Linked DNA regions of Schizosaccharomyces pombe. The gene in region 2 interacts genetically with the main gene of each other region. Each region holds a gene or a part of one and is shown on either strand. Other genes may lie near its edges.

What was found. Genes that interact genetically often act in the same process or in processes that back each other up.
Region 1: mutations in sac12 (region 2) and oca2 together harm fitness less than expected from each alone (positive genetic interaction), as found in Schizosaccharomyces pombe (one large-scale study listed by BioGRID).

The regions. Positions count from the first base shown.
Region 1 is NC_003421.2:757,868-764,474, forward strand, and holds oca2 (serine/threonine protein kinase Oca2), read right to left. Parts: upstream 4,758-6,607; 5' UTR 2,987-4,757; coding exon 1,034-2,986; 3' UTR 501-1,033; downstream 1-500. UniProt on the Schizosaccharomyces pombe protein: Overexpression causes cell cycle arrest.
Region 2 is NC_003424.3:2,060,522-2,066,520, forward strand, and holds sac12 (inositol polyphosphate phosphatase), read right to left. Parts: upstream 3,262-5,999; 5' UTR 3,121-3,261; coding exon 1,285-3,120; 3' UTR 1,052-1,284; downstream 1-1,051. Other genes in the region: eisosome BAR domain-containing protein Pil2, read right to left, coding at 4,332-5,483.

The DNA of each region.
Region 1 (6,607 bases), on a different chromosome or scaffold from region 2:
TAATTTGATTTATGCATTTGGCAATTAATCCAAGATGAACCCTCCTTATTCTTGTTCAGCCCTTTCGTTAATAACACATATACCTCATTAAGATCTATTGTTTGAGAAAAAAGTGGATCTCTTCCTTTTGTTCGTGAACCCATCCTATAAATATTTTGTATTTCCTAATAAAACACAAATCTAACTGTTTTTTTACATTTCTTTACTTTTCCTATAGAAAATAGGATATTTGTTTAAAATATATTTGTCCTGTCAGCGATGCTAGAACATAGCACACACATTCCGTTGTATTCATGTCGTCTTCCTTAAATTTGATTTCGAAAACTTTGCATGAGATATGTTCTACTTCTTTAAGAAATTGTCTCTAGTGCTTAAAAACTAGCTGCTTCAGGGCACATGGATGCCTAGGCATTTATTTTTTGAACACGTGTTTTACCATTATTATACAGTTGAAGTAAACACTGCATATATTCAATATTTGCAACAACTTTGACAACGGTTGAAAAGGACAAAATATCATATTCAAACACGATCTTTGAAAATTTTGAGACTAATGAATTGTATTGTATTATCTAAACTTACTAAAAAATGAAAACCAAATTCAAAGATGCGACAATTTTACATTTATTTTCAAAATTGTAGAGATATTTTTAATCTACCACAGTAGATTTCCCCTATTTACCATATAAATAACTCATAAACAAGCTAACCTCACAAAGACAATAATAATAATATAATAACCAAAGAAAGAAAAAAAAAATCACCAACAATCATAAAGTTGAGCTGATAAAAAAGGGACTGACTATTAAATAGAGGAGATTATAGTAAGAAATTGAAATGTCCCTAATAATCAAAGAATAAAGTATTTTTTAACATAAAAAAAGTCTGAAAAGAAAACTAAGTTACACCGTCAACGATTAAGAGATTAGCTCATTAACAAGCCACCACATTATTCATTTTTTGGTATCGTTTAACAGATCACCAATATCCAAGGCGACTTTGTAAACAAACGTGGGAAAGACAATATAAGTTTTTAATGCTTTGCAGGTGGAGCAGGTGACTCTTCTGAAGCCACCAAATTATGGACATGTGTTGGAGAATGAATAACTTTACCATTTTCCATATGGCACATCGAAATATCATTAATCCAATTGTCTGCAAAGACCCTGTGAATGTCGTAACGCTTAACAGGATCCAACTCCAACATATGAGCTATAACAGCACGAGTTTCTCTTGGTAGTAGGCGCAAAAGTCTCCAGGGTCCATACAACTCTTGTTTATGAGTTGAAGAGTTATCAGTTTTAGAGTTTGGACTATGTGATTCATCGGTTTTTCTAATAGGTTCGCATCCTTGCTCGACTAAGCGCTGTTTTTTTATGTCAGCAAGTATATCACTGGGAGACTCAGCATCATTTGAAGGCTGTTTCATACAAAACAAACGGAAAGAATTGTCTGAAAGCTTGGGATATTTCCAAGGAAAGCGGCGAAGAGCCATACAACAGAAAATAATGGCGGAGGACCAGATATCCACTGCACGAGGATCATATAGTTTCCGGACCAAGGTTTCTGGTGCAAGGTATGGATCCGAACCGACAACACCAGTGGCCTCAACGATATCGGCTTCAAAGGGGTATTTGAAAACGACAGCGCTACCAAAATCAATGATTTTAACAAAGCAATTACTATCCACAACCAAATTATCGAGTTTCAAGTCTCGATGCGCCAAACCCATCGAATGTAAATAGGCAACACCTGAGAGAAGTTGTTTGAAACAACAATAAACTTCAGGCATTGTCATCTTACCACTCATTACGATGGAAAACATATCGTATGGAGCATATTCCATAACTTCATAGAATTTTTTATTTTCCTCAACAATATCAAGGGTCTCAATAATATTGGTATGGTGCAAAGCACTACCAATACAAAACTCAGCAGTAACCTTTCTGGCATATTCACGCTCGGTTTCAGTAGGCCTTCTTGCACGGAATTCTTTGACGGCGAAAATTTTACCATCAGAAGATCGCTTCATAATACGGACAGAACCGCCTGCACCAGAGCCAAGCATTCTTCCAAATTTTCCGTATTTTTTGAAAAGACCGAAATGATCATCTTGGAGGTTAGCGGAAGATTTTGACTTGGAAACAGATGGCTTTTTCTCCTTGTCTGTCTTTTGATGGGATTTGAAAAAGCGACGAAGATCTAAAGAACTATGATGTTTTTCGTGCTTGTCATGCTTATCATGCTTGTCATGATGATTAGGAACAAGAGATTTCAACGATAAACTACCAGAGTGTCCATGATGACCATGCTTTCCATGATGAAGACCCAACTTTCTGAAAATGAACTGTGAAGGGATATCATGTGGATTTGTCTTAATAGGAGCACGGCGGGTGCGTCGATAAGGATCGTTGGGATCGCCGACAAGGTCTTCTGAAGAAGGGTATGCCTGAAAAATGGGGGAGCGATGATGCTGAGTGTTAAAAGAGCCTTCATCAGATTCGCCTTCACCACCACTGCCGCTGTTTTGTGAAAGAGCAGGAGAGGTGTAACCAGTCGAACCTGAAGGTTTAGGACTAGCAGCATGTAAAGCATTTTCAGTACGAGGGGGAAGGACGGTAGAAGAATTAGCAGAGCCATGATAATCATCTTCATCCTCAGAGGTGATAGCGGAAGGGGGAATGGAAATAGGTTCGAAGTGACGTGCAGCAGATGAACGATAACGATCCTCGGCAAGTTTAGGGTCAATGTGATTCTTTATATGGACGGGGGATTGAACTCTGGGAAGAGGATGATTCATATCATCGTCCGTATCAGCGTGCTCAGAAAAGTCGACAGGATGCAAACGCTGAGGAGGGTTACGAGGAGGACTCGTTATTTTTAATTCAGTGTCAAGTTTATTTTCCAGTGAGGAACTGGAATTGTCTGATTTATGATCGCTATCCCCATTAAGGTTAAACTGTACATTGGGAGGGGTGACAGACATGTTCGTAACGGCAATCATGTGCAATTGTAAAATAAAGAAACAAAAGAAATATTCTAGTTCACTGAAGAGCAAACCACCGGTAAGATTAGAGAAAAAAGTGTTTTACAATGAACCAAACAACAAGTGGAAGGTTTGGTAAAAAGGTAAAAAACAGGGAAGAAAAAAGACAGAAAACTTCAGAATACAACAAGGAAAATACAAAAGAGAAACTTGAATGAACTCAAAGGAATGTAGTTGTTAAACTATTTAACAATACAAGTTTTCAAGTACGACACAAAACAATTGCGTAAGAAAGTACGATTCAAAGAGGCAATCTCAAGACGGAGTGAATGGGAACACAAGAAATAAACAAACACGTCAAAGAGAAAGTAGAGAAAAATCAAAGATTTTTGACAGATATTAGTTTGTAACGGAGATACTGTCAGACGAGATGGGAAATTGAGGAAATGTCAAGCGAGTTTTTTTTAAAACAACGGATGACAAGGGAAGAATGAATAAATAAATATATAAATAAATAAATTCCAAGTAAGAAAAGGGTTGAAGAGAGAAAAGAAATAAGTATTTCCTAAGAAGATAACTTTTTTTTGATGGGAAATCGAGCGCTGACAACAACGAATTGGTTATTGTTTATGGAAAATTCTTTGGCGCAACGACAAAGGAATGAGAGATTTCAAGAACAAAAAAAAAAGGAAATAAGGAAGAGGGAAAAAAAACAATACTGGAATTAATTGGGAATGGGGAACCTTTTTATAGGTATATCAGTAGATATTTTCCAAAGGGAGAAATTCAAGGTAAAGTGAGCCGACGAGACGATCCGATCGATCACGACACACAAAGAGGAAAAAAAAGAGGCTTTAAGAAAAGCACACAAAGGAAATAAAAAAAAAGAGAAGATAAAGAAAAAGTGTGAAAACCTTGGGTTCAAATAAAGTATGAAAAATGAGAAATGAATTGAGATTACGAAACAGGAAATTCTATGTATTCATAGAAAATAGAACGTACGTAAAAACAAAACAAAACAAAAAAAACAACAACAAAGAACAAATCAACCCAAAAAGGGAATTCGAAAGAATGTTGATTGAAGGAAGAATACCAAGGGGGAAAGAGAATCACACAATTCACTCACTCACTCACTTTCGGGATACCGATCACACCAAATAACGAAACGGAAGAAGCCGGAAAGAAGGGAGTGGAATAGGAAGGGTGAAGGGACGAATGGCAAATTGAGTAGAAAGAATTCGACTCAATGAGGATGGATGGATGGATGGAAAATTAAGGGAATTGGAAAAAAGCGTAAATGAATAGAAAAGTTGGAAATTGATTTGTTGTTTTTCAGAAGAAATCACAACAATAACAACAATGTTTTGATGGGAAATAAGATCTTTATGCTTTATTCAATCTTTATTTTTTCGTTTACTTTCTCAAAATTCTTTCAATTCCTGTTTTACCCAGAAAAGAAATCAAAGGCAGATAGACCAAAGGGAATCAAAGCAATGCAATGGACAAAAAAAACTTTCGTTTTTCGTATCGTATCGTATGGTTTGATTTGCTTTTGCTTTTGCTTTGTTGAGTCAAAGTTGTTGGACTATGACTGACGGGGGAGTGAAGTAGAGCTTTTTAGTATAATTCAAATCTTACAATGAATTTTTTTATTTGCTAGTTTAAAAAAAAAAAAAAAAGACGACGAGAAACAGGTTCAATTCCTTGATAAAAAGGAATCAATCAATGTGGCTCTCAACAATACTATGAAAAAAAGTGGATGGGAAAAGGCAAAAAGTATTGCGGTGCACGGCAGGTGTATATAATATATGTATACGAAACACGCAGTCTACTACAGCATCTCCCATGTAATCTCGAATGGCCGCTCTACATCAACTGCCGAGTCGCATTGGATGGAGGAGCTAGCAAATCCACACGATCTCCGGGAATCCCACCCATGCAAGTGCCGAAGTATGATGTCACTTTTAGTTCGGCTACAACGTGTTACCTCCGGCGAGCGACTCCACAATCCGTTGCACCGCGCTAAACGCTGAGAGGAAGAACGAAAGGCTAAACGCTAGCAAGCAGGGGGGATGACGTGGGGGAGGGCGAAAGGGAGTTGAGTGAGCGAGACAGGCGGTGTGTGGGGCGAGAGAGGGGAGTAGAGGGGAATAGCGAAGAGGAACGCGACCTCGTTGGGGAGAAGGAGAGCGAAAGAAGGTAGATGGGGGGCGATTGAGAGTCGAAGGAGGAATTGAGATGGGATGAAAGGGAGAGGTTAAAGATGAATAACGTATAAAAAAAGAGATTGTTATAAGAGATAGAGAGATGGAGAGAGCTAAAGAAAAAATTAAAGAGGTGGAAGAGTAGCTAGAGCTAAAGTGTTGAAATTAGCTAAAGTATGAAATTCACTAGAGTGTGGGAAATGTAGATAAGTAAATGATGATTGACATGTTTCATTCAATACTTTGTATCATCATTTGTCAGGAAATTAATTCCGTTGATGTTATCATTTCATCCATCTGCCATGGTCATTGCTTCGTGCGACCGCCAGTCGCTTCCTTTTCCATTGAATTTGGATCCGACCGTTTGGTGGAAATTTGGCAGAGGATCAATCGGAAGGAATGATCGGGTTTATTAAAGTTGAAGGAAAGAAGGGAAAAAAAGTTAAACACAAAATAAAGTAAGGAGGAGGAGGAGGAGGAGGATGAAAAAAAGAAAAGAAAATTTCAGCAACCCAAATCTAAACAAGGGGAGGGGGAAAAAAAGAGCGGCAGTAAGCAAGAGGAATGGGAATTTAATTAAAGAGGAATAGTGATTTGATTAAAGAGGAATAGTGATTTGATTAAAGAGGAATAATAATTTGATTATAAGAAGAATAATAATTTGGTTCAATTCAATTCAGTTTGATTCAACTCTTGTTGCTTCTCACTTGCCTTTCTCTCTCCTGTTTATTGCACACACTATTCCTCGTTTGTCATCTCGCCCATCCAGCATCCTGACAATGACACTAGTACGAGGGAAAGACATTGGAGCATTTCTAGAGCAAAAGCAAAAGCAAATGCAATTACAATTACAATTACAATTTTATTTTATTTTTATTTTTATTATTATTTTATTTTATTTTATTTCGTTTAATTTAATTTAATTTAATTTAATTTAATTCGATTTTATTTATTTTCTTTTAATTTTTCCTTTGTTTCCTTTTCTTTCACGGCCGCCCTACAAAATTTTCTTCTTCCTCATCCAAACAGTCAGACGGCCGAACACAAAACAAGAGCAAATGCTAGATGCTCATGAAAAAGTAAAACTAAACTCGATTGACTTTTGAGACTATATGCACATCAGCCTTTCCTTTTGTTTGTTTTTTTGTTTTTTTTATTCTTTTGTTTTGTTTTTCTTCTCTTTACTTTTCTTACCAGCCCTAAAATTCTGTGGGTTTGTGATATCACTATATTTCGTTATACCACTCTTTTAATGACATCTGTATATCTCGTTATCTTCATCTTTTCAGTGACTTCGCTGTACCTCTTTATATCCCTTTGCTACTTGTTTAGTTAGTTGGTCTAGTTTTTTGTAGCATTCGTTATTAGTAAGATCCTTTTGTGGCTTTGTTTGTACTTTGCTTTGAATCGAACGGTT
Region 2 (5,999 bases):
GGTGTGGTTATGTTGCAAACAAATATTAAAGAATAAATCATAAGAATATGACCAGGTTGCTAATCCTGCCAGAATCGGGTTGAATTATTAAGTGAATATGTTAAATAATGAATATATGTTAAAGAGTCGTATTTCGCTCGAAATGTATGATTCGCCTTGAAGAGCTTGATGGACGGTTTGCAGTACTCGTACTTATGTTAAGTATCCTTAGAGTATGTAGTGAACTCGTCAATGCGTTAAAAAGCTATAATTTTTAAAAAGAAAAACGATTAAATTAATAATATTTAACAGAACGGCTTAAAATATACAAGTTCAGAACATTGCACTCCTGCTAACATAAACAAGAGGGGTATACGTGTAAGTTCAAGCTTAATATACTAAATTGCAGGTCTTCGTTACGCAGTATTATTGCGAGAGATGTTTACGCTTCCGTAAGCTACATTAAGTGATCTCAAGTCTTTGACTTGGTACTAGGAGTAGTTAAATCCACTATTAAAATAATATTCAAAATTAAGTGTGAGCATTTCCATTTCTATAAGCATAATTATGCTAAGCTGATTGTAAAAGTGTATATAATCATTTTCGTAATATTGTGGAGTTTTCATACAAAAACTGTCGGGTAAGGCATAACTTCATCATTTTTTCAGTAATGTGAATTGTGAATTAAGATTCTGGATTGGAAGTATTAGAAAACGTTGCTGAACTGTATGATCTTTTAAAAAATTCATTTTTATAACATGTTCATTGAAAATATTAAACCAGAATGCCCCTAAATTGGAAGAAGTATGTATCCTAAATATTGAACATGAACAACACTTATGAAATTGAAAGAAAGCTTGGCTTTTTCATATATTTCATTTACTGTTTAAAACCGAGTAAAACTTGAGTCAAAAGCCTCAGTGATTCAATGGTCAAAGTTGCCCAATATTTAACACTGACTTAATAAAAGTTAGAAATATTAATTTTGTCTGCTATATTTTTTTCGTGTGTTATCCATACTACAATAGTTTGTTAAGGGCTCTAACAATTATGAAAATCTTAAATTACTAATTGATATTGGTAGGAAGCTTGGAGCAATTAAAGAAAATAAAGTTACAATTACCAATCACGTAAAATGATCTGAATTAGTCACTTGATAAAGTTGGGTAGCATCGCTTTGTTCAGTAGCAAGATTGACATCTATGAAGTCTAATGAAATAAAGAGTGAACTTCGAGTGTTCAAAGAGCGTTTTCTGCTAATTAAGAGTTATAGCAATACTGTTCTTTAGTTATTGAAATGCACAGTTAGACACTTTTTTTGAAAGAGCCGGAACGCAAAAAACGAAACACTTTAAGAGTAATATTTCGGAAATGATTACGAAACGAAAACCAACCTCCCTTAGCATACGTTGGTAGTACTAGACGAGGCCAATTAACGTATTGTCTACGATGAAAATATAGGTAGATTCCAGCATTCACCATAGGGATAGAATATAACAGACGACAGAACAGACTTGGATTTCCAAATAATTCTTGTATAGTTAATATTATCGTGGTGAACAAAAAAATTCCAGGTGCCACAAATCTAGTCCAGTGAAAACGCAAAGGCAAGTCCGGAATCGAAAGTGAGTCGTAAGGACGAAATACTCCAAGACCCAAATCATAGCTATCTTGCAGCATACCGTCAAAAAAATTGTTAAGAATATATCTACGAAAGCAGTTTAATAAATCTTTGAAAGCTCCAAAAATGGTTCTCGTTCCATGGCGAGTCACATCGCCTTTTAAGGCCGGGGTACCAGTGTAGAGATCACTGATATAATCTCCAGTATTAGCCCATATTAAGCGAAAATCTTGTAAAAAACTATCATATTCTTCCAAACTCTCAGAGCTAGAAAGTACACCAATATCGTGTAATTGCATGTTTAGAATAAACTGTGCAATGCTAGTCTGAATGACGTTCGTCCGATCTAAGCAATCCATACAATTTGTCCTTACAAAGTTGGTTTGCATTGCAGTAGTTTTAGATCCATGCTCGGCATAATATTTTCCTTCTATCAAGAGACTTTGAATTTCAGCAAGAAACAAAGGGAGATTTCTACTTCCTTGCTTATGATAATCGTAGTAAACATAAGACAAAGGAGGGTTTTTATTTCGTTTACATAATTTTTCAAACCCAGACCGTAGAGGTGCTTCACGTCCTTTTTGGTCTAGAAGATTGACCACCACAAGATTGTCCCCATAATCGTTGGCAAGTTCTTGAAAATGCTTCCCAAACACAGTCTCGCTATAATCAAGAGGTTGTAAAGATAATAAAGGTCGATAATGAAGATCATTAACTTCGGCCCAGAACATGGGGATACTTCCTCGAATTTGAGTAAAAGAAAGAACCATTTGTTCTTCAAGGGTGATGGGTGATTCGATCATTATTATTTGTTCAATTTCATTAAAATTAGCAGCACTTCCTTGTGCGTTTACACCTCTGGTGAAATACCGCGTACCCGCATAGTCAGGAGAATGTCGTGTAATAACACACAGTCTAAGGTTATAAGTCTTTAAAAACGAGTTAGTAATGGCGATATTACCCTGAATCATCGGTTGAATCCATTCTTGAAAGCCTAAATCCTTATTCGTCAATTCAATTAATTCATGAAATGCATATTTATTCCAAAAAAAGCGGTAATTATATTTTGATGTCAGTTCAAAAGATTGGGTTAGTACGCGTAATCTTTGAAGGGAACAGGTTAGATCTAACGTTGGACTAAAAAGTATTTGGCCTTTTGACAAATGTTTATTGAGCAAACTGATATAATGTAGTTCTTCCTCATCTTTAATATTTAGCAGACCCGTGGAGAATGGAAGAGTCCTTGTAATTGGGAAGATAGCAAATTTCCTTGCCCGATAAATATTGTTTCCGAGAATTGCTGCATGCAAATCACAACTTGTAACAAGAACTACATATTTGTATATTTTCAATCGAATAAATCCATATAACTGAACGTTATTATAGTCAGGTGTCTTGCTGAGATCAAGAGAATTGCTCAAACTAAGGCATCCGTCGACTCTATCTATTCGAAGAGAAGCTTTTTTTTTGGAACATGATAGATAAATGCTGTCTGGAAATACTCTAACGTCCTGATTCATTATTTTGTTGTATTTGAGAAGCGTAGATGCTTTTCTGCTATAATGAACCCCGGACTAATGTATTTTCCAAATTAGGTCTCAAAAGTAAAAAATGAGAATGCTATATTTACAAAAATTCAAATCAAACTCTTTAATGTCCATGAAACGATTTTTGAAGGCTTGATTTCCAACGCAGCGCCTGAGTAACGAGTTCATTGTTACCTGAAGGTTTATGCAGCACGTTTTACAAAACGAACTTTCAGTGACAGTGTAATGTATGATATTATTAACAATTCTCATTGCACTATGTAATGATACGTAAAGTATCGCTATTCATTGTACCTTTGCTTTACAAGATAGGTCGTCTGGTGATGCTGATACTCCCCAATTACCTATATTAAGGCTGAACTACAAACTATAATTCGAAGAATAGGCAAACGAAAATCATAATACTGTATGATATTATTGATTTTGAGAGTAGCAAAAATAATTAATAATTCATCGTAGCGTTTTTCAGATATCACAGAAAACATACCATACTCTATCGCATAATCAAAATAGTTTACGAGCCTTCTTTGACTGCAAGTAACATATAGGCAATGTCGCTTTATATTTTGATACATAATTTCTATAAAAGTTAGGTGTTATATGATAACCAACTCTTCGAAAGGAAGCATATGTTTTGCTTTAATTAAGCTTTATTGATATTTTTACCGTTGTTAAATAATATATACTAAAGATCTGACCCAGTTGAATTTGCTATCTATGTTGTATTGCTTTTTACTAATACAACCGAACTGCCAATTTTTACATAAATATTTTATTAAATCGGATTGAGAAGTAAAAATTATAAAATCATACATTTAATAAAATCCTTTTTCAACACAAATAATCTCCATTGTTAATTAATTGCTTTAACCAACAACCTTGTTAAGCCTAATTTTGACCGCAGGAATTAAAAAAAAACACTAAATAAAAACAAGATAATTAAGAAACCAACATCTGCGAAACATAAAACTCGGTGGAAAATAAATATGGTTAAACGACATAGACACAAAAACAATGGTAATGAGAGTAACGTGAGTATTAGTTCGATAAGCATGCATATGTAGCAATAGCAAGTGCTTAACACGTGCTAGCAAATTATGTGAATTGACATGACAAAAAATTCACGTCAATTGATGAATGCGTAAGGATCACCAGAAATCGCGTGAATACACACCAAGACTTGCTTAAGCAGCAATAGGTTGTGCACTAGTGCTAGGCATAGACGTTTCAGCAACGCCTTGAGATCCTACTTCTTCATCATCCTCCTCGCCAATTTCAAAGTTATCAACAACTTGGGTGCTTTGAAGAATGTTTGGTTGAAAACTAGGTTGATAATCTTCTGTACCCATTTGAGAATATCTTTTACTACCTGTAGAGGTGTAAGAGTGTGTAGTGCCGGAAGTAGTTACACCATTCGCATGAGAGTAACGGCGTGGAGGTTCATTGATTACATCTGTGCGAGGAACGACACTAGCTTGAAATTGTGTTTGATAATGACTTTGAGAAGGCAAACCATCAATGTCGGTAAGGGGTTCAGGAGTTTGGAAAGGATTTTGCCAATTAGCCAACTCACGTTCAGCCTCAACAATATAGTCACGGGTTATGTTGTAACCATCGTAAATAGGGCGAGGCTCACCGGGAACAATGGGAGTATCGTCCAGGAGATCGAGGATCTTCTTGGCATACCCGCAAAGAATAGCAACCTTTTCAGAATGCTCAAGTAATGTACCAATATGAAGAGTAAAAGCACGTTTAAAGTTTTCGCGGGTAATGTTAGTTAACTGCGCTTCTGCAACCAAACACGCAGCTTCCTCACGAACTAGTTCCTGTTCCATAGTAATAAGCTTTGGGGACTCAGGATCACGGCTTCTAACATCATAAATGGAGTTAAGTAGCTTTTCTTTCTTAACACGGGTGGGTTGAACGCTAGCCTCAATATCACGGATGGTCTTCAGACTAACACGATATTGATCGTATCTGTCTACCATATGCTCCTCAAGTTCGCCAATTTCATATAAAAGTACACCAAGCTTATCACTGATATCGCTAATATCATCATCGCAATCTTCACCCCAATACGAAAGTTGATTGGCACATTCTTTGCGCTCCATGGCAACGTTTTCATAAGATCGAAGTAAATCCTTTTCCATCTTAACGAGAGCTGCAAGGCGTTTAGCCATTTCGGGAGTAAACATACCCACAGATGGATAACGGAATTGTCTGCCGAGTTTATTAACATTTACTGCACGACGGGTAGTAGAGGGAGGAATTTGATTCTGTTTCGCTTTAGGAGGCGCGCGAAGCGTATGAATAGAGTAAGATGGTTGAGTGCCCATCATCTTGCTAATTACTTGATAAACGATTTAAGACTTTGAAAATATGTATATATAAAAAGAGAAAGGAAATACTAATAAAAAGGTTAGTATGTTAATTAGAGGTAGGTTGAAACAATGTTCATTAAAACATACTTAATCCGCCAACTCACACTAGACAAAGCGAAGTATAAATAAGGTCAGGCTCAAAATGGACTTATTAGACTACACTTTCGAAAGTAACAAAAGAGCTGTAAAGTTCAGGTAGATTTTTAGCGACTTGAACCCATGTTTTAAAGATTTGAGCTAGGCTTGAGACGTCACTATGTCAACATGGAATTTATATGTCGAAAGCATAATGTCATTATTGTCCGTACACTGAATGCGACACCTAAACAATTGAAAATTAATAAGGACTTGTCAATCAGCAAACATATAGATATCTTAATCATTTCCCTCCTCTATGACAATTAGCAATTTCATAAAAATGAACGAACAAAATAGCTTATGATACATTATGAAAAGATATGAGATCACAAA